Linked DNA regions of Mus musculus: regions 2, 3, 4, 5, 6 and 7 are each reported to be linked to region 1. Evidence: microRNA targets listed by miRTarBase, many of them from high-throughput screens and not tested one by one. Region 1 holds a microRNA gene; each other region holds the end of a gene's coding sequence.

Region 1 (3,082 bases):
GTCTCAGGCAAGCACTAGCCCACGGGCGTCAGGGCACACAAGGAAGGGGTGGCGGGAATGTCGAGAGCTGCCCGGATTTCAAACTCTGCAAAGCCTATGCTGCTTTGGTTTCCGGGGTGGGGATAAAAAGTGACTCCCCTTACGACCTTCCCGCGACCCAACCTCCTCCGAGTGTGTCCGAGGCAGCTCGGGGCCAGGTCCTCATCCCACAGAGGGCTAGCCTGGGGTCTCCGCAGAGCGCTGCCACTCAGCCAATCGAGCATGGGCAAAGAGAGAAAGGCAAACCTAGGGACACTCACCAAGCGGTGGCCGCCCCGCCGGCTCGCGACGCGCCAGGCGCGCGGGGCTGCCCAGGTGGCGCCGCGAAGCGGGCTCGAGTTTGAAAGTCGCTCTCGGAAGCGGCAGAGGCCGCCGGCCGCTCCCGCCCACGGCTGGCCGCCCCGCGGTCCCAGCCTCTGCTCGCTGCGAGCACCAGACGCCGGGGGACCCCCGAAATGCGCACGGTTCCCCAGCACCGGGCAGGAAGTTGCGGCCGGAGTCCAGGCTGCGGCGGGAGGGAGGGAGGGAGAGAGAGAGGGAGAGGGAGGGAGCCAGGGAGGGGCGGACCAGGAATGTTTCCAGTGGGTGGAGACTGCGCTCGCGGCTGCGATCCAGCAATTGGCGGCTCTGGGGGGCCCGGGGGAACCTTCGCGGCGGTGCGAGCGAGCTGTGGCTCCCGCTGTAGACAGCGGCCGCCGTGGCTAATGATTAACGCGCGTGGCCCGCCGTGTGGGTCCCGCTGGCCGCCTCCCCTTGCCACCTGGAACTCTGGGATCCCAAGGCGCACGTGGTGGGGTTACTCTAGTGCCACCGCCCTGATATCACGCCGAGAGGGCAACGAAAGCCTCCAGACCAGGTTCCGACCAGAGAGGACTCGGAGCCCAGCCACCTAGACTTTCCCAGGAGAAGCGCAGGTCTAGGTGGCAAGGGCGTCCTGGTCCTACTGGAGCAGGTCACCACGACCGCTGAGTCAGAAAGGCACGTCTCGAATTCCTCGCCGAAACTAGGTTTCGGTGGCTCTTTACAGTTGTAAAATCTTACCTTCTGAGGAGAAAGAGATAAGAAGCGCATAACTTGGGGCGGGGCGGGGCGCGGCGCTCAGTGGGACTGTTAATGAGAAAAACTGATCGAGGAACCTGAATGTCAGTGGACCCCATTTTGAGTGCGATCTATCAACAAAAGGCATGTACCGGGAAATTAGGGGATGGGAAAATTGGGGGATGATTAGCACAAGCACATAGAATACAAACCAGTTAGATTTTGAGCAAGAACATAAATCTTTTGTGTGGTTTTTGTTTTTGAAGCAGGATTTCAATTATCTGAGACTGGCAGAGGGTAATCTTGAGAGTAATGGTTCTCCACCCTCTATCTCCGGAGTGCTGGGATTACTGGTGTGCACCACCACGCCCTAATTATTGTTTTTATTTTATTTTTTGATTTGAAACAGGCCCACACTTTGTAGCCCAAGCTAGCCCAGAACTCTTGAGTGATCCCCCAGAGTGCTAGAATTATAGGTGTGCGCTACTACACCTCACTAAGAATAAATCTTTCATTGGTAAAGATCTTAGGGGAGGTAGCATTAGATGCTGTCCCCAGTACGCACCATGAAGAGGGGTAGGAGATGGGAGCCCAGTGTGAGATCACAGAAGAAGTAGGACTCCTGCGTTAAACGATGGCACCAGGTTCTTGGAACAGGAATGGAGAATCGACCCCAGTAACTCAGCATTTAGACCGCCAAGTGTAGACAAGTGAAAATCCTAAATAGCTTATAAAATCCCCTCCTCCACCACTGCCCTCAAAAAAAAAAAAAAAAAAAGCTGCCCCAGGGAAAAGCAAGCACCTAGTGATTTACGGGGAGGGGCGGGGCAGAGAGAGAGGAAATGGCTTTCAGGTGACTTTGAAACGGGATCCCTGGGAAGAGTAAAGATTAAAGTAGTCCTTGCTCCTGACTGCGGGAGGGCCAGAAAGTAAGGCTCACGTTACTTAGTCCACAGGTTAGGCTTGAAGAGCGGCAGACTAGAGGACAGCACTGGTGAGAAACAAGATTACCCGGGAACGGGGGAGAGAGATAAAACTACGGGGTGGGATGGGAAAGGGAGAAGCCCCACTCCTTCCCACCTCGAACTTTCTGGGTTTCTGGTTTCTTCTCTAATCTGTTAAATCTTACCAGTCCTTTCCTACTAATCTTAAACTCCCAACTTCCAAAGACGTCCCCCAGCCCCAATCCAGAGATTTAAAACTTTTGAATGTATGACTGGCTCCTTAGCTAGAAAAGAAAAATAAAATGTTGATGATAGTAATGGTTAGGGAATGGTGCTACCAAGTGCACTGCACTTTATAATCACTAAGGCAGGAATACACTTACTCCCATTTTGCAGGAAGAATACTGAGGCTCTAAGGATGGAGCAGTCTGGCCAAGATCAATTGCATCAAGGGGCGTAGTCTGAGGGGGCGACACTGGAGTGCTTACTGTGTTAACCTTTGAGCATTTTACAAGAACAATTGCGGTTACAGGAGAAACTGAGGCTTGGTCATACTGCTAGTGGGTGGTAGAGCTGGGAGTTTCTACCCACAGGGAAAACTGCATTTAGCCAGCCAGCTCTTTCTCCACTTCCTTCTAGACACTTGTTAGTCCATTCTGAACTTGATTCTAAAGCCTCGAGTTGTTTCTAATTGCTTTAATTTATATGCCCATTTCCTGAAAAGATTGTAATCTTACTATGCAGAACTTGTAAGAAGCATTCAATAAGGCCATGCTGGAGCCAGATGAAACAAGCAAGATTTTATAAAAAATCAGTTTCCTACCTCCAAGCCTCCAAGAGTCAGTGTCAGGACCAGGGTCTCAAGCCGAGCCGCAGCCCCCTTCTCAGCGTTGAGCCTTTCTGCCTTCCCACCAGCTCTTGCTTCAGCGAGCGGCCTCGCCCTGCTATTAAATCATTTATTATTATAATAACACCTTGAGTCTCAGTAATGCCTTTAATCTGAGGTCTCAGGGTGTCTAACAAATACAAATTAATTCATCATCTCAGCCCCTCCACTTGGA
Region 2 (3,082 bases), not on the chromosome of region 1:
ACACCCACCACCTTCTAATGAACTTACTCCAACCATGAAGCCTCCTGGAGTTTGAACATTCACATTGTAAAATTTATTTACCTACTCAATAGTAAGTGACATTAGCCAGCTTATCCACTCAAATGAGGATCAGAGATTAGAAGTCAGGGCCAGGGCGTTCTAATTGCAGTCTAAGGGCTGGCTATTGTCCTGGGTGTAACCTTTCTCTCTAGCACAAAAACTGGAGATTCAAAAATATAATCCTTTCATACCCCTGGGTTACCAGTATCTGGACTACATAGTGATAATATAGTGCTGGGTGGGCATGGTGATGTGGTGGCCTGGATTACAATCAGAGCAAATTAAAGCCTGGGCAATTTGCTAAAATCTTGTGAAACTTAAAAACTGTCATGGATGGTGGTGGCAGTAGCACATGCCTTTAATTCCAGCACTTAGGAGGCAGAGGCAAGTCAGTCTCAAGAGTTCAAGGCCAGATCTACAGAGCAAGTTCCACATAGACAGTGGTAGGCTTAACAAATTATGTGTACCTTGGGTGAGGACAAGTTAATTGGCCAGAGGTAAAGTAAGGTGGGTGCCAGTTCAAGGTTAACTTCAGATAGTCAGAGGACAGGGGCCTGTCTGTGAAGTATCTTGTTCTTGCAGGCTAAAGGAAAACTACATTTTACTGAGCATTGATGGCCCTGGAAAGAATATTCTGAAGTTCAAGCCCCCAATGTGCTTCAACGTTGACAATGCACAACATGTGGTAGCAAAGCTGGATGACATTCTAACAGGTAAACTTGATAGAATCCCATCTAGCATAGATCAGCCCTTGTGTAACTAGAGCCTCCCAGCATGCGCCAGGGATCTTATAACAAGTATCCATTAGATCAGAAAGGATGGCCTTTGTAACCAGTAGCAACTTGCACTGACTAAACATGGGCATCACCACCTATGATCCCAAAATTTGGTAGGTAGAATGGGGGAGATCACATGCTCAAGATAATCCTGGGCTACCTACACCTTATCTTTTTTAAAATGCAAGATGCCTTCATGTTCACCCCAGCAGCGATGGCACACATCCTCAATCCCAGCCTGGTCTATAAAGTTCCAAGACAGCCAAGGGCCATCAAACAAAGAAATCCTGTCTCAAAAAACCAAAAGAAACTGTTAATGACAGGAGCTTCATTTTATCTTCAAGATAGGGGCACCCTCACATGTGAGTGGCTAAAATGGCTGGCTGGCTAGAGTCAAATCCTCCCCATAACCTTTAAATCACTCAAGGTCAAGAACAGCCCAAGGTCTCCCTCAATTTATTTAAGAAAACTACCGAACTAGAAATGACTATACACCAAAGTGGTTGTTATACAAAGCTCAGATCCCAACAGACAAAAAACAAGCTACCAAGGATCCCTTCCTATTCCTGCTTGTTAGCCACCCCTACTGCGTTTTGGAATTGATACATTTCTTAGAGGGTTCTATGTGTACAGAACAGTGAGTGGTGACTGGGCTTACAAAGGGACCATCTGTGCTAGGGAAATGATGAGACATAAGCCAATCTCTAAACTATCCCAAGCATCTTAGAAACTGAGGGTAGGCCAGGCGTGGTGGCGCACGCCTTTAATCCCAGCACTTGGGAGGCAGAGCCAGGTGGATTTCTGAGTTCAAGGCCAGCCTGGTCTACAGAGTTCCAGGATAACCTAACCAGGGCTACAGAGAAACCCTGTCTTGGGGGGAAAAAGAAACGATCTGTGATCATTTTCCAGACATGGAAGAAAAAGTAAGAAGTTGTGAAACCCTGAGGATCAAGCACCCCCCAGGTAAGCCAGACTTGGCCCCACCTCCATCAGCAGATCCCCAACATTTCAACTTGTACTTGACTGAAACTAAGAACATGGAATATATATAATACATGGCAAGATGGTCTCTGCTATGGAGACAATGGGCACAAAAGGGCAGCTAAAAAGATCAGATGGGATAACTAAAGGACCTCTGCTTTGCTACAGGAGACCTGGCATCTCCAACACTGGGCAAGGTCTCACAGAGCATCCCACATTTACCCAGGCTTGGGGGTTTTGTTTTTCATTTTTATTTCAAAAGCTTGGATAGCTTCAATATCCAGGTCGTGGCAAAATCAGGACACGTGTAAAATACCTTACAATACATTAGATTCCCAAAAGGTACCAAAAAGTACAGTAAAATTAACACTTCCATTACTGGAAATGTATGACACAAATAATATAAAATTAAAAGGTGAAAAAGGTGACACTGGTTTCCTAAGATACAGTTTTACTCTTTACAACCAGGGTCCACAGGTCCAGGCTGCAGAGCGGCAACAGGAAATAGACCCTCCTGATCTAGAACAGGGTAACCTGGTAATAAAATCAGCCCCCTAGTGCCGCTCTGGCCTCTGAGACGCCACACGCTGCCTACAACTAGAGCTCTGGAATAGTAAACAGGAGAGTGATTTCTGGGGGAAATTTTAAATAAGATGCACATGGGACAGGCCATAAAAGTTTGCCAAGTTAAATTTGGTACATAATTGTGTTCACTCCGCGTCCAAACAAAGCGTGTGCGGTCGTCACTCGGCCGCTCCTGCTGCCTCTCAGTATGGCTTGTAGTTATTCTGATGACCACCACGTCGCTGGCTCTTTCCGTAATTTGTACTACCCTGACCTAGGAATAAGAACAACGTTGTGGCTACTACTTTAACTATACATTTACCCAGTGCCAGGCGCTTGCCACACATCCTCAGAATAAATTAACACTACACAGCAACACCAGCTTCTTACACCTTACTGAGAAGGCTAAGCTAGAGCTTCATTCAGTAGCTCCAGTGCCTGTGCCAGGCCTGTCTGACTCCAAAGCCCCTGCTGCCAATGGCCCCTGCACTACCTAACCTGCCTCCCCTAGGAGGAAGTAGATAGGGCCTCCCTCTCCTACTTACTGTAGTCGTAGCCGGGGCCGTAGCCGTAATAGCCATAGGGCGAGTAGTCGTAGCCGCCATAGCCCGGCCCGTAGCCCTGCTGGTAGCCGTAGCCCTGGTTCCAGTAGTTGCCGTAGCCCTGATTCCAACTCTGACTCTGACCTGTGGGGGGGAGCA
Region 3 (3,082 bases), not on the chromosome of region 1:
TCTTCTCTTGCTTTGTCTCTGGCCTGTACTTGTGGGCAAGCTTAAGCAGCTGAGTAGCTGTCTGCCTGTCCAGGGCCTGGGTGAACTGGTTAATGGCAGGAGGGACTTTGAGCCGCTTGTAGAGGATGGCTCTTTGCCGCTGCAGCCTGATGTAGCGGGCCCATTTGACAAAGTGCGATAGATGTCTTTTGGGCTGGATGTCCTGTCCAATGCCGAAGTTCTTAGGCCTCTTCTCGAACAGAGGGTTGACCACCTTCTTGGTCTCCTGCTTCTTGACGACGGCGGGGTCCGGGGCCACCTTCTTTCCCCTGGCCTTCTTCCCTTTGGGCATCTTGCTCTGCTGCTGGAGAGAAGAGGATCGTGTTTTCAATCACCAAAAGCACCGATGGTGCACAACAGTCTCAACCGTGTGTAAATCCTTTGTTTGTAATTTTCTTCCTTCCTGTCTTCTCCTTAGATGGGGCTCGAACGTTAAGCAACGCCGAGGACTACCTCGATGACGAAGACTCAGACTGATTCCCCCCGGGGCCGCTTTGATTGTTGCCTAAACTTCTTTTGCTTTTGCCATTCCGGAGCCTGGGTTGTTTGCCAGAAGAGTATTGATAACTGTTGCTTTTAAAGTCTGTATGAGCGCGACACTGCTGCACTGTGATCTGTGAGGAGTCGTTGTGAGGGTGGGTCATTCTCACCCACGCCTTGCCAATAAGTGAAGAGATACTTTGTTGTATAAAATACATATATGCTCACCAGGGTAAAATAAACGAAAAAAAATTATTTCTATTTATCAAGCTAAAGGAATTGTAATAGTTTTTTTTCTTTTAAAAAAAATCATTTTTTTAAGTTCTTTACCTCAAGGAATGAGATGTTTTGAGTGGGTTTTTCAAGGGGGAAATGGTTATTATAACAATAGACCAAAACTCTCAACAGAAAATTGTCAGCTCTTCTGACAAAAATAAACATTTAAAGAGATTTTATTATCTGTTTTTGTGCTATCACTCATTGCTGGTAAATAAAGCTTTCTATACTCAGGTAAGAACCGATTCGATGTTACTTTTAGATCACATTTGATATTGATTAGCACAGAAGAATCACAATGCTGTGTTCCTCTCACAGCTTCCTAGTTTTGTTTTGTTTTTTTTCCGAGACAATGTTTCTCTGTGTAGCCCTGGCTGTCCTGGAACTCACTCTGTAGACCAGGCTGGCCTCGAACTCAGAAATCCACCTGCCTCTGCCTCCCAAGTGCTGGGTTTAAAGGCGTGGGCCACCACCGCCTGGCTCACAGTTCAACACAGAACACAATTGCATATCTAAGAAAAGATAACACTTTAACAATTACGATATACTCAGAATTATATTCAGGGTAGTACCTAGACTGTAGAACCTCAGTGACCTCATTTCAGTTTGATTAAAGTGTGGAAGCTTAGAAAACCATGACTGTTTCTTTGTGAAAGCTGCCGTAATTTCCAGGGCGACGTTGTTAGGAAGCATGAACTTGACTCTCTCAGATAACATGTTTTCTCAGAACGCGTGTCTGCCTCACAAGGGTTTGGATTCCTTTGCTGAGTCAGGCTATACAGGAAGCCTTGGTGTGATACTTCATTAAAAGTTCTAATTTGTTGGGTCTTTTGGAGGGCAGTCATGCTAGGTCCCTTTTTGTGAGCCCTCCATAGCCTCAGGAAATAGCCTTGGGACCTCCCCTTGAGCTGGAACTCACTTTGGGCCTGTTGCTAGACCTTCTTTCCCTCAGGCTCCTTTCCATTTCTATCCCTGCAGTTCTTTCAGACAGAAACAGTTATGGGTCAGAGGTGTGACTGTGGGATGACAACCCCATGGCTCACTTGATGCCCTATCTTTCTGCTGGAGGTGGGCTCTATAAGTTCCCACTCCTTACTGTCGGGTATTTCATCAAGGGTCCCTCCCTATGAGTCTTAGGAGTCTTTTACCTCCCAGGTCTCTGGTGCATTCTGGGGGTGGGGGTGGGGTCCCCCCAGCCCCCTTATAGACCCAACAAGTAGCTGAAAGAGTCAGATGCAGATGTTTGAACCCAACCAATGGACAGAAGCAGCTGACCCTTGTTGAATTAGGGAAGGCTGAAAGAAGCTGAGAAGGGCGATTATGCAGGAGGACCAACAGTCTTAATCTGGACCCCGAGATCTTTCAAACACTAGACCACCAAACAGACAGCATACACCAGCTGATATGAGGCCCCTAACACACATACAGTAGAGGACTTCAAGGTCTGTGTTCATTCAGAGATGATGCATCTAACCCTCAAGAGACTGGAGGCCCCAGGGAGTTTAGAGGTCAGGTGGGATGGGGTGGTGGGGGCATCCACGTGGAGATGGGATGGGTTGGGGAGGAGGTATGGGGAGCAGTCGATGGGTGGATGGGGAGGGACAGGGAATGGAATATGGAGTGCAAAAAATGATTTACAAATAAAATTAAAAATTTTAAAAATATTCTAATTTTGTGTCACTGTGTTAAAAATGTCATGGTCTCAGTGTTTCTAGTTTCCCAGCCCTGGGCCCAGAAGTACATCTTTAAGAATTGACTGCTTATTTCAAAAGGCGTATTGGTCAAGAGAGGGAAATGTTGAAGAAGGAAGTGGACTAGCTCAGGAAATGAATAATGCCTGTGCAGGTGTGTCTTCTGCCTGTAGCTGGTTTTTCTCTCTGTAGGTCCCTTGAGAAAGGTGCCTGGAGGGACCAGTTTGAGGTCATTCAGATACCTCACCTAATTTAGTTGCAAATAACCTGTAAAAGCAATGACAGCAGAGACGGCCTCTGGGATTAATTAAGAGGCATATTGTCACCTCCAAATAGCTGCTGTGCTATTACATTGTTTCATTTTGGTTGGTTGAGACAGTCTCGCCAGGCTGTCCCTGACACTCACTGTGTAGCCCAAACTGTCCTCAAATCCTGCCCCTGCCTCCCAAGTGCTGGGGTTGTACTCGAGAGCCTCCACGCCTGGCTTGTTAATAAATCCAGTCGAGCTGCTTGCATTTCTCAATAAGCAAAATTGGAAAGATAGCAGTTCCTTCCAGAAGTGGTCTCTCTCCCCATAGAACTTGGAAGGGCTTTTC
Region 4 (3,082 bases), not on the chromosome of region 1:
GAATCAAACTAATAACACTTTTCTTTGTTCTTTCATATTAGAAATTTTCTTTGAAGCAAATGAATTATTTTTCAACTTCATCCCTTAAGTATCCTGCCTTTCCCTGGTGTCTGTTAGTTTTTTCTTTGTAATTCGTGTTTTACTCTTTCATGTGTTATTATTATTTTCAGGTATTGTTGGGGACTGGAAAAATTACTTCACAATGACCCAAACTGAGCAATTTGATGCTGTCTATAAGAAGAAGATGTCTGGAACAACACTTGAGTTCTGCACAGACATTCAGAGTGCCTAATCTACAACTTGAATATATGGTTTCTTAAAATAGTAACCTGGAAGAGAAATCAAATAGATTCATGAAGGAAAAATAAATGTGCTTTAAAAATGCTAATTGAAAACATACTACACATTCCCCAGCAGGTAATCTTCCAAATGATCTAGAGCCAAGGTCTTTTGTTACCTTAGTTTTCAAAGGATATGTCTTCAGATTTCTAGATTCTTACTGAGTTGAATAAATACATTTTGTGACTTTTGAAAAAAAAAGAAGTTGGTCTGAGTTTATTATAATATGGAATATAATTTGTTTCAGAATATGAAACATGTTCTTGCAAAACATATTTCACAGGAGACTATACTTTCCACTGTGTCTCCCATGTAGTAGTACTTAGAGAAAGTACTTAGAGAAAGTACTTAGAGAACACTAAGCGCTTCTTAGAGTTATGTTTCCTTCACTATTAAAACAGTTTGCAAGGTTGCAAATGGTCTGCATTTTCTACACTTGTTAGGTTCCCTCTCCTGGATATCTGACCCAGGACACTATGCTCCCTGGCTATCTCAAGGTTTTCATGCTGTTCTGTGAGTTATCAATTATCCTTCTACCATGGTTCTTCAGTAATATTATTCCATGTGTCAGATCAAGTAGCTGAGACTTGGAAATAGTGTAGACCAGGCTGGCCTCAAATTCGGAAATTCACCTACCTCTACCTCCCAAGTGCTGGGTTTAAAGGCATATGCCACCATCACCTGGCCACATTATTTTGTTTAGAACTTTTCCCTTGAGCTGTGAGCTTATCTCTGAGAACCTATTCAATCTCTGCCCTATTCACGTCCAGATATATCTTGGACAGAGAAATGTATAACTCTTTGTGTGAAAAGGTTTCCTGCCTGTAGGTAATATCAACCTATGTAAAATTGTATCTCAAACTGTCTCCAAACTAAAGCGAGTTGATGAGCTCTAGATTTCTCCTTTACCTATTCAAAAGATGGAGGCTTCATTTACAATGTAAACACACTCTCAACCATAGCTGATATGAGAATAGGTAAAAGAATTTGTATTTTTACAAGTGAGTCTTAGCTACAAGTCCTTGTTTCAACTTCAAAGAAAGTCATCCAGTACAAGTGCAAACTCACAGAAAATACACATCTTTGCTTAGAGAGATAGCTGCTTCATAACATGGTTTATAATTTCTTCAAGTTATGAAACATGTGTTCTAATGCTAAGAAATATCTTGTAGAAGTTATATAAAATATTTGTAGGTATGAAAATATAATTTGACTTGGAGAATATTCTTCTCAGGAAAAAAATTAAGCCAATGTAGGCAGATACTTAATTTGCCTTATTATCAATACCAATAAGTTAATGTGACCCACAATCTGATACAACCTCAAGTTATAGGAAAAAATAATAAGCATCTGTGACCTAGACTAATTTTGTTGTAATGGCTTGCTTGAATCATCTACCTTCACTAGTACAATGAAGTAACTTTGGCTTTCCTTTTCAGGAATTTTGTTTAATTCTGTTCAACAATAGTAACTTTATAAACTTGAACTATTCTTCAAGTGATTTTGAAGTGCAAAAAATATAATTTGAAAAAAATAAAGTGTATATTTTTCTTTACTTTTCAAAAATCCTTTGATCTTTTTATACCATCCAAAACACTGCCAGTAAGTTAACTTGCAATGCTTTGCTTTTACCTTATTCACCAATTTACAAAGAGAAACCATAAGAGTATTATTCTGTTTTTAACTGAATAATGTAAGAATTGTGATAGAAAGTAACAATGGAAAATCTCATTCAACATTTCATAGCCTCTTTGTCTTAAAAAGTTCAAAGAATGCCTTATGGCATCCGTTCATCACAGCAAGATAAGCACTGGTTGAGTAGAATTTCAAAGGGTGAGTTAGCTGGCCCCTTTCTCCTATCCCTGTTTTGATGTGAATCTGTTCCTGACTTGTCTCAGTACATGTCACTAACTTCATCCAGTCTGAAAAAGTTTTATCCTTAAAAAGTTTTGAAGGCAGAATACTATGTCATATAATCACCACCATGATATTTGGGCTAACCTAGATCTGTGTTCTTGGGCTATAGTCATTTATATTCATCTGCAGAATAAACTATATCTCATTTCTTTTATGGTATGAGCTATATTTTTAACTTCAAAACAATAATATCTGTAAGAAATAGTTATGGACAGCTTGATTCCTAAGAGTTCCAACACAACTAAACTCACAGGTAAGACCATGCCCCCAATCCCAGTACTTGTCCTAAGTGACAAGTGTCCCTGTGACCCAGAGGATGCAGGACCTCCCACCCTGCTGGGGACATATTTCCTGCCCAAACTGCAACTTTGCCTAGAGGCAGATTATATGCTCTAGCACTCTGCCCCAACTCTTCTCACAACTAGAGACAGCATCACTCCAACGAGGTACTCTACAGCCAGGCTCACAAATTAGGTGTTCCAGACTCGAATCCACATACATAGACAGCCTGGCCTGAGGTGATCATAGCCAGGCTCAGAGGAGGGACAGGCTCCAGTCAGAGACAGCAAGGCCATTTAATACTAGAGATAACCAGATGGCAAGAGGCAAGCATAAAAACAACAGAACCAATATGACTTTACAAAATCAGATCCCAGTTCTCCTACTACAGCAAGCTATAGATAGCCTAACACACCTAAAGAACAAGATTCTGACCTAAAATCCCATCTCATGAAGATGATAGAGGACCTTAAAGAGGACATAAATAACTCCCTTAAAGAAATACAAGAGAACACAGGTAAACAGGTAGAATTCTTTAAAGAGGTAA
Region 5 (3,082 bases), not on the chromosome of region 1:
GAAAACACTTTTTCTCATAGTTTGTTTTCAATACACATATTTATTATGCTGTAAAAAGCAACACTACCTGATCTCATTTAAAATAAGTATTTCCCAATTCCAGAATACTTGCAATTTATAGTTTTCATTTTGGGAAATGTTGGAAGTAAATACATTCATAGTTGTGGACTCCCCAGCAGGGATCTACATCAAACATCAGGTTATCAAGTCCCTGACGGACAGCTGGATCAACAGTATACCCAGCTCTACAGCTAAAGCACGTGTAGGCAGCACTGGGGTATAGCATATCACCAGACAGGGGTGTCAGAACCAAGACAGCAGAAACAGTGGCATAAAAAGATCTTCAAAGCAACATGATCATGTAATGGTTCCAGGATACAGAAAAATTAGCTAAGATTGTAAAGCCAAAACAAACAGATCTTTGGAGTTTACAGATGGTAGCAGTTAGCGGCTCATTCACACACACACAGGGTCCTTGTTATTATCAGCCAGTAGCGAACAGCCAGAGCAAGACCTGGCACAGGAAAGAGCATACTCAACCAAGCCACAGAGACTGTACAAAACAGCACTGAGCTGAGAGAAGATGAAAACACCTGTCTCAAAGAATATACAGAACCATGACTGGAGGGGATCCTCAGTCACTGGCAATATTTAAGTTACTGAATCACAAAAAGCCAGCCGCTATTGAAATAGCATTATCTCAGTTGATTCCAAAAAAACCATGTTCACCCATTAATTTTGGAGGTTGTCCCTGCGTAGGATGTTCCCAGTGCCACCTATGCACCTGTCTTGAGGGGGTGTGGAAGAAGCAACATAGCAACAGGGCTGGCTGCCCACCCACCATCCTCCCCACAGACTCTGGAACTTAGAAACACACTCATGGTGCCTGTCCTAGTGAAGGAACATTAGCCACAGTTTCATCAAGGGTGGAGCTGGCTAGGGAATGGAGGGGGTGGCTGAAGCTGACTTTGACTGAAACAGGATCAAAGCAGCTGGAGGTTACCGGGTGAATAATGTGCCACCAGGCATAAAGCAGGGATGCAAGCAGTGCAGGTAGTGAGGGTCACAGAAGACGCTGTATTACTGTCATAACTGCTAGTATCTGTGCACTTGAGAATTTTGCTTATTTCATAAAGCAGTTTCTTCATAAAGCAGTTTCCAAGAAGTCCGTGTGTGTGTGTGTGTGTGTGTGTGTGTGTGTGTGTGTGTGTGTATGCCAAGTGTGCATGCACTTGTGTGCAAAAGTCCTCACTAACATACCCTTTATCTCTTGGAGGTATAATAGGGTAGGTCCAGTATGTGGGACTCCTAGATAATTATGTTTTTTGTAAGGTCGCTTTTACCTATTATCTAAGTTAATCATAAATTACCTTTCCAAAGCAAAGAAATGGTGGGTCTGCCAGGCGTGGTAGTTTGCACCTTTAATCCCAGCACTCGGGAGGCAGAGGCAGGCGGATTTCTGAGTTCAAGGCCAGCCTGGTCTACAAAGTGAGTTCCAGGACAGCCAGGGCTACACAGAGAAACCCTGTCTCGAAAAAACCAAAAACAACAACCCAACCCAACCAAACCAAACCAAACAAAACAAAACAACAAAAAAGAAACGGTGGGTCTAAGTTGAAAATGAAGTGATCTTATTGAATGATACAGCCCACCAACAGTTAGGCAGTAGAGGAAGAGAAGATACTCAGGGCCTCCCACAAAGGGGTGCTATCTTGATGCAGACATTTGACAGCAGGATTCAAAGTAAGTGTTATTTGTAGCTTTTCCTAAATATATCGTTATAACTTTGGTAACTGAAAGCATTTCTGAACTTTTCTTTATTGTAGAAGCTGAAAAGAACTTATAAGTGTGCAGTTTCGCTGTCTTTACTCTTAAGACTGACGATTATTTTAGATGTCATAATTTTGGCTCATCTTCCTTAGATAAATGGCCAAGCTCTATCTCTGATGGTAGAGATGTGAGGCTTGATGGCTTGCTGAGGAAACATGAAAACTGCACAGTGAGCCAGTGCTCTCTTTCCCAGCTGAGGGGGACCGACAGCCACGCAGCACAGAGAGGCTGGCCCAAGCGTTGTATGGAAAGGAAAAATTTAAAAGTGCTAGAACTATATTCACACATACGTTTTGGTCACCAAACATATCTTAACAGATTCCCTGATAAAATCTAATCAGAATCGGCCTGTTCTATGAACAGTTAGTATCTATTTTAATATTTAAAGAGTCACACTCTGAAGTGAGGGTGATAGACATTTTAAACACTCAACCATACAAGTGTAGTGGTCTCTCAAACACTCAAAACTAAATCTGTATTTAAAGTCTTAAAGATCACACTATTTTCACCTAATAACAGCATCGACCCCGTGGACAGACTGTACAACAAAGCTCACTCCTAAGTGCATATGAGCGTATCATCACCAGGGCTTGAAAATGTACAGAACGCAAACCATGAAGACCACACAGTTCAGCTGGCATTGGTAACTACTCTTTTACACCACATTGTACAATGCACGAGGTAACTATTGCTCACATTATGAAGGGAGGCTGCTTCATTTCTATTTTTTTCCCAAAGAACTCAGATTTGTCGTGTGCGCACAATGAAGGAAGCTCCGGTAACACTGCAGTGACAGATGTTGTAAATACACATTACTACCAGATAGAAATATACAATGCTCTCCATAGTCATGTTCCACAATGACTAGGTAAGTAATGGAAGTCTTGGGGTGCAGACCATTATAGCAACCCGTCGAGATTCTTGTGGACAGTCTGGTTTCCCTTTCCATCATCAGAATCCCCTTGAGGTGTGTACTGAACTTGGTATTCCTGAAGGATTTTAAAAACATCATGGTGTCCAAAGTGTAGTGCTTCATCCATGGGGGTATTATTCCACCTGCAGCACAGCAGACAGGGTCGTTAGTCAAGGAACTGCTGCTCGGAGACAGTGCTCCGGCACCCCCAGGTTTTCCATCCAAGCTCCACGGCTGTTGACGTTCATCTATACTTTAGCAGTATTACAAGTGAGACTCCCCCACCCCCCAAAACACACAAAAAAGTTCTTAGAGTTCAGACACTGGTGTGAGAGAGAC
Region 6 (3,082 bases), not on the chromosome of region 1:
AGCCAAAGAGCTCAGCTAGTGACATACTCTGGGGATTCGCAAAGCACCATGTGGCTAAGTGCACTGGGAACCTGATGACTCACACTTGTCAGTCCAGCATCACACAGAAAACTAAAGCAGAGAGATTGCCCAGAGTTCCAAGGAAGCCTGACCCACAGAGTGAGACCTCCATCTCAAAAATAAGTTCATACAAGATAAGTAAACAGAAGTGCTGGAGGCCACAAGGTTTTATACAACTGTTAGGTTGTAAATATTTTTAATTCTTTACTTGATTTTACTTGGTGTTGTGTGTATGTATGTGCATGCAGGCATGTATGAATGTAGGTCAAAGAACCGCAAGTACCATTACTTGCTGAGCCGTCACAGAGACACAACACAAAGATTTGTCGGAGATTTCTGGGTATTTACTTTTGAGAAACGGTCTGTGTATGCATACTGGGACTTGGGGCTATCCTCCTAGCTCAGCTAGATGGTGAGATTACAGGCATACTTTAAAGCTTTATTTATTTATTTTACGTATGAGTACACTCTGGCTCTCTTCAGATACACCAGAAGAGGGCATCAGATCTCATTACAGTCGGTTGTGAGCCACATCTGATGGATGTGGTTGCTAGGGGTTGAACTCGGGGACCTCTGGAAGAGTAGCCAGTGCTCTTAGCCACTGAGCCATCTCTCCAGCCCTATGGCATGTTTTAAAACTGATAAAACTAAATTGTGAAAACAGAAAAGCAGCAGTTCCCAGAGGACTATGACTGGAAGATGAGGTGCACAAAGGAGAACCACCCCACCCTCTTGCTGGGGAGTCTAGGCAGGAGTATCTGCCTCATGCCACTGAACTCAATCTCTCCCAGACTCTGGACACTCATCTCCCCAAAGCAGGTAGCAGACGGACTTCTCCACATTTTCATGCTTACATATGCACACGTATTTGTGTAAGTTGGAGGTTGACATCAAGTGTTTGCTCTTGGTCACATCTTTAGGAGACAGTTTCCTGAGTCCAGCCATCTCAGAAACAAGTTCTATCTTGCTGGCAGGGTCAAGACTGAGTTCATGTTCCCAGGCCCCAGAATACAACTCCTATCCTGCTTCTTAGATCTTTCATGTTTGTCTGTTAGCCAGTGAAGGCTGTAAGGAAGGAAGATGCTGTTCTCCAGTTATCCAAACTAAAGCACACAAGTCGTTAGTGTGTCCCTGCCTTGATTTAACTGACTACTGCGGCTCACCCACTCCTTTGGTCCTTCACCACACTAGATTCCAGGTCAGAGTCCAGGAGGGGACTAGGCTGTAAAAGCTGACTCAAGGACCCTGAAACCAGGTGACCCAGATAAGACCTAGTCACCAGTGTTAAGTCCTTGTTTAACCCTTTGTGTCAAGATATGATTGGTCAGTACCCAGGTCCCCTTCGCTTTGTGTTCCCATCCTATAAAAAGCGTCGTGCAGTCTCTCATCAGGGTTCAGATCCCCAACTGGCCACCTCCCTGCCAGTGCAGAAAATAAAGCTTTTATTTTTTAAGCTTCTGTCTCTGAAGTAAGTTTTCTCAGTTTCTACCGCAAACCAAACAACTCCAAGCACTTTACCACAGCAGGCAGCTCTCCTGCCCCGAGTTTTGCTGTTTTGAAACATAGTCTCAAAGTAGCCCAGGTTAGTTTCAAACTTACTAGGTAGTCAAGGATGACCCTGAACTCCAGATCTTCTTGTCCCCACCTTCCCTGAGATCAAGGGGAACAGACTGTGGGCATATTTGGCAGGCTCAGCTTGTCACACTGACCCTTCTCCATACATCACAGAGACGGAGGGAAAATAGGCAGCAGGCCCTTCCTGCTGTCCCCACAGGGTCACAAGTGATCACGTCCAACATTCAAAGTGGGAAGACTCGCACTGTGCATAGAGTAGAGACAGAAGGAAGAAGGTCTCTAGGGATGTCAGGGCAGCTCAGCTCCTAGGAAGGCAACACACATATACACCATCCACTTGGCCTCTGATGCATATAAAATTTATTAAGGCAATACTGAGCCCCAGGATTTGAGGAACAGTGTACTCGGCCCTCACTTTCTCATCTGAAACAATTGCAACATCCCAGCTGTCTATCCTGTCACAGTTGCTGGGTTCTTGGGCCAGGTATCAGGGTCTGTTAGAAAAGCTCTTGCTAGCCGGCCTTTAATCCCAGCACTCAGGAGGCAGAGGCAGGTGGATTTCTGAGTTCAAGGCCAGCCTGGTCTACAAAGTGAGTTCCAGGACAGCCAGGGGCTATACAGAGAAACCCTGTCTCAGGAAAAAAAAAAAAAAAACAAACAAGAAAAGCTCTTGCTATTGTGGGCCATGATGTAGAAAAGAAACCCGGAGTGAAAAATCATTATGCCTTTTTTTACTTCAAGACAAGGTCTAATGTAGCTTAGACTATCACTGAATTTGTGATGTGGCAGCCGGGCTTTGAACCTGTGACCCTCTTGCCTCTATACCACAGTGCTGACACAGGATGACAGACTAGTGCTATCACTATTCATTACCCTCATTCCTCATTTTTTTTTTTTTTTTTTTTTTAGGAAAAAAACATTTTTTTTTTCTAGAATGTTCTGGATCTTTTTACCCCTGGAACATTCTAGAAAAAAAATTGCTTTAAAAGACTGATGGGAATAGGTTAAACACATGTCTCATTCAGACTCAGTAGGGGAGGACCTGTTGTGCAATTGGACTGTTGGGAAAAGCAGTCAAGCCAGATAGATGTTGGCCCTGAACCTTCTCCCTACTTCCCTTCAGGGGTTTTCTCTGTGATTCCAGGAGCGAAGGGGCCCACCAGCCACATGGCTGGAGTGTTCTGGGCCACGTACTCCACAGTGTTGTCTAGGGCCTCCCGGGCTCTGGCTATGCGCTCCCGAGTTTGGGCAAGAACGCCGGCTGAGAGGTCCTGGAAGGAGTGAATGCCGGAGAAGGTGGCCTGAAGGTCGTTCACCTGGCTGCGGGCCTGCTGTGCCTGCTCCCTGACGTGGCTGGGCAAGCCCTGGATGCTGGCCCCCAGGGCCACACACATGCTCTGCAGCTGCTGGGTGATGTCCCTGAACATGCTGAGTGCCCGGGCCTCCA
Region 7 (3,082 bases), not on the chromosome of region 1:
TTGCCAAAGCTGCTGCAGAATCGATCTCTCTCTCTCCCTCCCTTTCTCCCCCACCACCACCTTCCTTCCCCCCCTCCCCCCAGATAGAGATAGATAGATAGATAGATAGATAGATAGATAGATAGATAGATAGATAGATAGATAGATAGACAGACAGACAGACAGACAATCTTTGGGGGGATTTTGAGATAGAGCTTCTCTCTATAACTGCCCTATCTAGCCTGGAACTTGCTTTATAAACCTGGCTGGCCTCAAACTCAGAGCTTCTCCTGCCTCATCCTCCCAAGTGCTGGGATTAACGGCTTGTGCCGCTTCTACCTCCCAGACTTCACTGTAGAATCTTAACAGAGAAAGAAGGATGCTACTCATCCCTCCATCAAAAGTGACTCATCCTCAGGGCCACCTCCTAGAAGGAGACGAGTTCTTTAGCAGGCCAGCTCCCCTCAGCCAGTCCTAGAATCATTTAACCCCATAAGGCCTCAGAAAATTTAAGTGTAACTTTTGGGTCTATGAGAATTTGAAGCACTTAAATTTCCCTTTTAAACAGCCAACTCCTCAAGTTGGGCTCACACTTTTAATCCAGCATTGGGAGGCAGAGGCAGACAAATTTCTGAGTTTAAGGCCAGCCAGGGAAAACTTGTCTTGAAAAAACCCAAGAGTGAAACCTTCAATGTCATACTATCCCCTTCTGCCTCCCCTCAACTCTATCTCCCACCAATTCCTGTCATCCCTTTAGGATCTAAACACATACAAGCAGATAGTAAGCCATAATCCCCTCCCCCACTCCTTTTATGGGAAATGCAGTGCGCTGGTATGGTGGTTTCAGAATTTTCTCTCCACTGCTTTCCAGGAGTCACCAGGCCTCTGGCAAGTGTTGTGTTCCTCATGCCAGCCTAGGGCCAGACAATCAATAAGTACTTGCTGGGCTGGGGGAGGGATGGGGAGAGCAGACTGAATGGACCAATTGATCTCTGGGGACAGCCCAGAGCATGTGAGGCAAGAGCCTCTTGACACCTATGCTATAGTCACCTCCCTAAGTGGTAATGGCCTCAGTCCTGATAATGTCTTCTGGGGCACAAAACGAACACCTCTTCACAATGCTGCCAAGGACTGTCACTGCTAAACAAAGATGTTTCTGAAACTAGAAGCACAAAGACTTGGAAGATGCCTGGACTCCGAAGGTTCACACCTCTGTGCACTGCAGCCTAAATGGCAAGATTCTTCTGTCCTACCTGCACTGTGACCTGTTTCTGCTGTTGCCGTTGCTAAGAGATCTGTGCAAAAGGGTAGATTTGGGCCAGAGGCTGAACAGGTTTTCTTCAGTTTTCTGCTTTCAGACAGCTCGGCGTCACAGATGGGACAGTGTCGTGCAAACCACTGAGAAAGTGGACTAATACTTTGGGGAAGTTTTAATTTACTTCAATTAAAAATTCAGGGCAGCGTTGAACAAAACAGAAGTAGGTGAGATTACTTTGAGAGCCTCTGAACAGGCCTGTCTGGGTCCCCTGCAGGCAGTACCAGAGGACAGCTATTCCAAGGGCACTTCCCATTGGCCAGCCAGTCCTAAGACTTAGCATTTCCCCCTCACCCTCCCAGCAGACCAGACAGGGCATCGCCTGGGAGAAACCAACCCCAAGAATCGTCTCTCCATTGATAGCTGAACTAGCTACTCTTTTTGGGAATGTGGGGGGGGGGGGGTGTGTGGGGGGGGATATGCACATGTGCGTGTATATGCATTGAAATTTCTGGACAGGTACAGTGCTTCGCTCAAGAGGTGACTTCCAGAGTCAGCAATGACAGGATCTCACTTTTTATTGCAGGTCTTTACATAAAATGTAAACTTTGGGAAGAGGGGAAGTTCACAACTTTTTCACAATTGGTGGCTCACGCCATTAATCTCAACACTTAGAAGGCAGAGGTAGGCAGGTCTCCATGAGTTCAAGGCCAGCCTGGTCTACACAGAAAGTTCCAGGCTAGCCAAGGTTACACAGTGAGACCCTGTCTCAAAAAGAATAATGAAAAATCTTAAGGGACCCAACTAATTGACTGGCAGTGATCCCATGCAAGGCCACTGGATAGGTCGCAACCTGCTTGGGGACTGGGTACATCAGGGTCAGTAATCCTACTTTGCTAGAGAAGGGCTGGGGACAGGTCTCAGTGCAAACAAGGTTGCTTCCGGGAAGAGATTAGGGGATGGCAGGCTTGCTGGGAGACATTTCTACATACTACCCATGACACCTGGCAACAACTTTATTGATACCTGAGAGTAAGTGCTGGAGAAATGTTTGCACTGACCACTTAGCCTGCTCTATTAGGCAGGTCACCCAAGGGCCAGATGGATTCTCTTGTCCTTCTCTTAAGCTGTGGTCATTGGAGCTTCCCAAGCCAATGGCCAACAGCAGCCAGGCAAGCAGCCAGACCTAGAGACTAGGAAAAAGGGCATCGCATCGGCAGTGCAACTCCAGGGGGAGGCAGCGAAGTCAGTGAAGAGGCCTCATCGGTCCAGGTCCAGAGCCTCCTGGGTTACTGTCCGGAGTCCAATGGAGAACAACTCTTCCCAGGGCTCCCGAATCCAGGCCAGCAGGGCTGTCAGCTGCTCCCCACACACAACATGAAGGGCCCAGAAACTCTCCAGTCGAGACACCTGGTAGATTGAGCAGCAGGCAAGGGAAACACAGTGAGAGACATACCAAGAGTCCAGAATCTTAGGAAAAGACACCACACCCTCGGCTTTTAAAGGCTCTTCCCCCTCCTCCCCTGCCTCAGGTCTGTGTGACACTGCATTAAAGGGCGACTCTGAGCCTTAAAGCGCACTGTCTGAGGGCTCTAGAGGACTGGTGTTCACAGTTCCGTCTCTATCTTCCATGCTGTAGGGAACGTGAGTTCTAACGTCAATTCCAAGAACTGTGCAGGTTCAACTCCTGACTCTACTCTTGTGACCTGCACAAGTTTCATGTCTCTGAGCCTTAGTTCCATCATCTGTAAGACAGGATCAACAACAGCACCTCCTCCTCATGTTGGAGTTGTGAAGGTCAACCAGTTGGCATACAGTGTGGGTAGGCTGATCACACCAACTCACACC

Evidence for each region. Region 1 holds the annotated microRNA mmu-miR-5135 (AGGUCUAGGUGGCAAGGGCGUCCU, at 952-975, shown strand). A microRNA usually pairs through its seed, bases 2 to 8, with sites in the 3' UTR of a target mRNA and lowers its output. Matches are read on the target gene's strand: a 7mer-m8 pairs with bases 2 to 8, a 7mer-A1 pairs with bases 2 to 7 and ends in A, and an 8mer does both.
Region 2: the mRNA of Hnrnpab is a reported target of mmu-miR-5135. Seed matches in the 3' UTR shown: 7mer-A1 at 1,656-1,662.
Region 3: the mRNA of Ostf1 is a reported target of mmu-miR-5135. Seed matches in the 3' UTR shown: 7mer-A1 at 908-914 and 7mer-A1 at 1,190-1,196.
Region 4: the mRNA of Sult1b1 is a reported target of mmu-miR-5135. Seed matches in the 3' UTR shown: 7mer-A1 at 939-945.
Region 5: miRTarBase lists Gls as a target of mmu-miR-5135. Seed matches in the 3' UTR shown: 7mer-A1 at 1,478-1,484.
Region 6: the mRNA of Plin3 is a reported target of mmu-miR-5135. Seed matches in the 3' UTR shown: 7mer-A1 at 2,215-2,221.
Region 7: miRTarBase lists Stk11ip as a target of mmu-miR-5135. Seed matches in the 3' UTR shown: 7mer-A1 at 1,951-1,957.

The regions. Positions count from the first base shown.
Region 1 is chr12:76,531,036-76,534,117 of GRCm38, reverse strand. It overlaps Mir5135 (microRNA 5135), which reads left to right and starts at 906; the gene lies at 906-984. It overlaps Plekhg3 (pleckstrin homology domain containing, family G (with RhoGef domain) member 3), which reads right to left and starts at 558. Exons shown (of 19, transcript NM_153804.4): 1 at 300-558.
Region 2 is chr11:51,598,824-51,601,905 of GRCm38, forward strand. It overlaps Hnrnpab (heterogeneous nuclear ribonucleoprotein A/B), which reads right to left. Exons shown (of 8, transcript NM_001048061.1): 7 at 2,927-3,067; 8 at 1,277-2,655. The coding sequence ends at 2,585. It overlaps Phykpl (5-phosphohydroxy-L-lysine phospholyase), which reads left to right. Exons shown (of 13, transcript NM_028398.3): 11 at 643-773; 12 at 1,746-1,799. Among named protein-coding and RNA genes, the nearest start is that of Hnrnpab, 6.5 kb to the right of the region's middle.
Region 3 is chr19:18,578,704-18,581,785 of GRCm38, reverse strand. Ostf1 (osteoclast stimulating factor 1) reads left to right here. Exons shown (of 10, transcript NM_017375.3): 10 at 458-1,422. The coding sequence ends at 516. Among named protein-coding and RNA genes, the nearest start is that of Ostf1, 52 kb to the left of the region's middle.
Region 4 is chr5:87,512,150-87,515,231 of GRCm38, reverse strand. It overlaps Sult1b1 (sulfotransferase family 1B, member 1), which reads left to right. Exons shown (of 7, transcript NM_001382837.1): 7 at 171-1,905. The coding sequence ends at 292. Among named protein-coding and RNA genes, the nearest start is that of Sult1b1, 21 kb to the left of the region's middle.
Region 5 is chr1:52,163,429-52,166,510 of GRCm38, forward strand. Gls (glutaminase) reads right to left here. Exons shown (of 18, transcript NM_001081081.2): 18 at 21-2,886. The coding sequence ends at 2,730. Among named protein-coding and RNA genes, the nearest start is that of Stat1, 46 kb to the left of the region's middle.
Region 6 is chr17:56,276,988-56,280,069 of GRCm38, forward strand. It overlaps Plin3 (perilipin 3), which reads right to left. Exons shown (of 8, transcript NM_025836.3): 8 at 1,975-3,082. The coding sequence ends at 2,745. Among named protein-coding and RNA genes, the nearest start is that of Ticam1, 1.8 kb to the left of the region's middle.
Region 7 is chr1:75,535,648-75,538,729 of GRCm38, reverse strand. Stk11ip (serine/threonine kinase 11 interacting protein) reads right to left here. Exons shown (of 25, transcript NM_027886.3): 25 at 1,395-2,644. The coding sequence ends at 2,495. Among named protein-coding and RNA genes, the nearest start is that of Slc4a3, 9.3 kb to the left of the region's middle.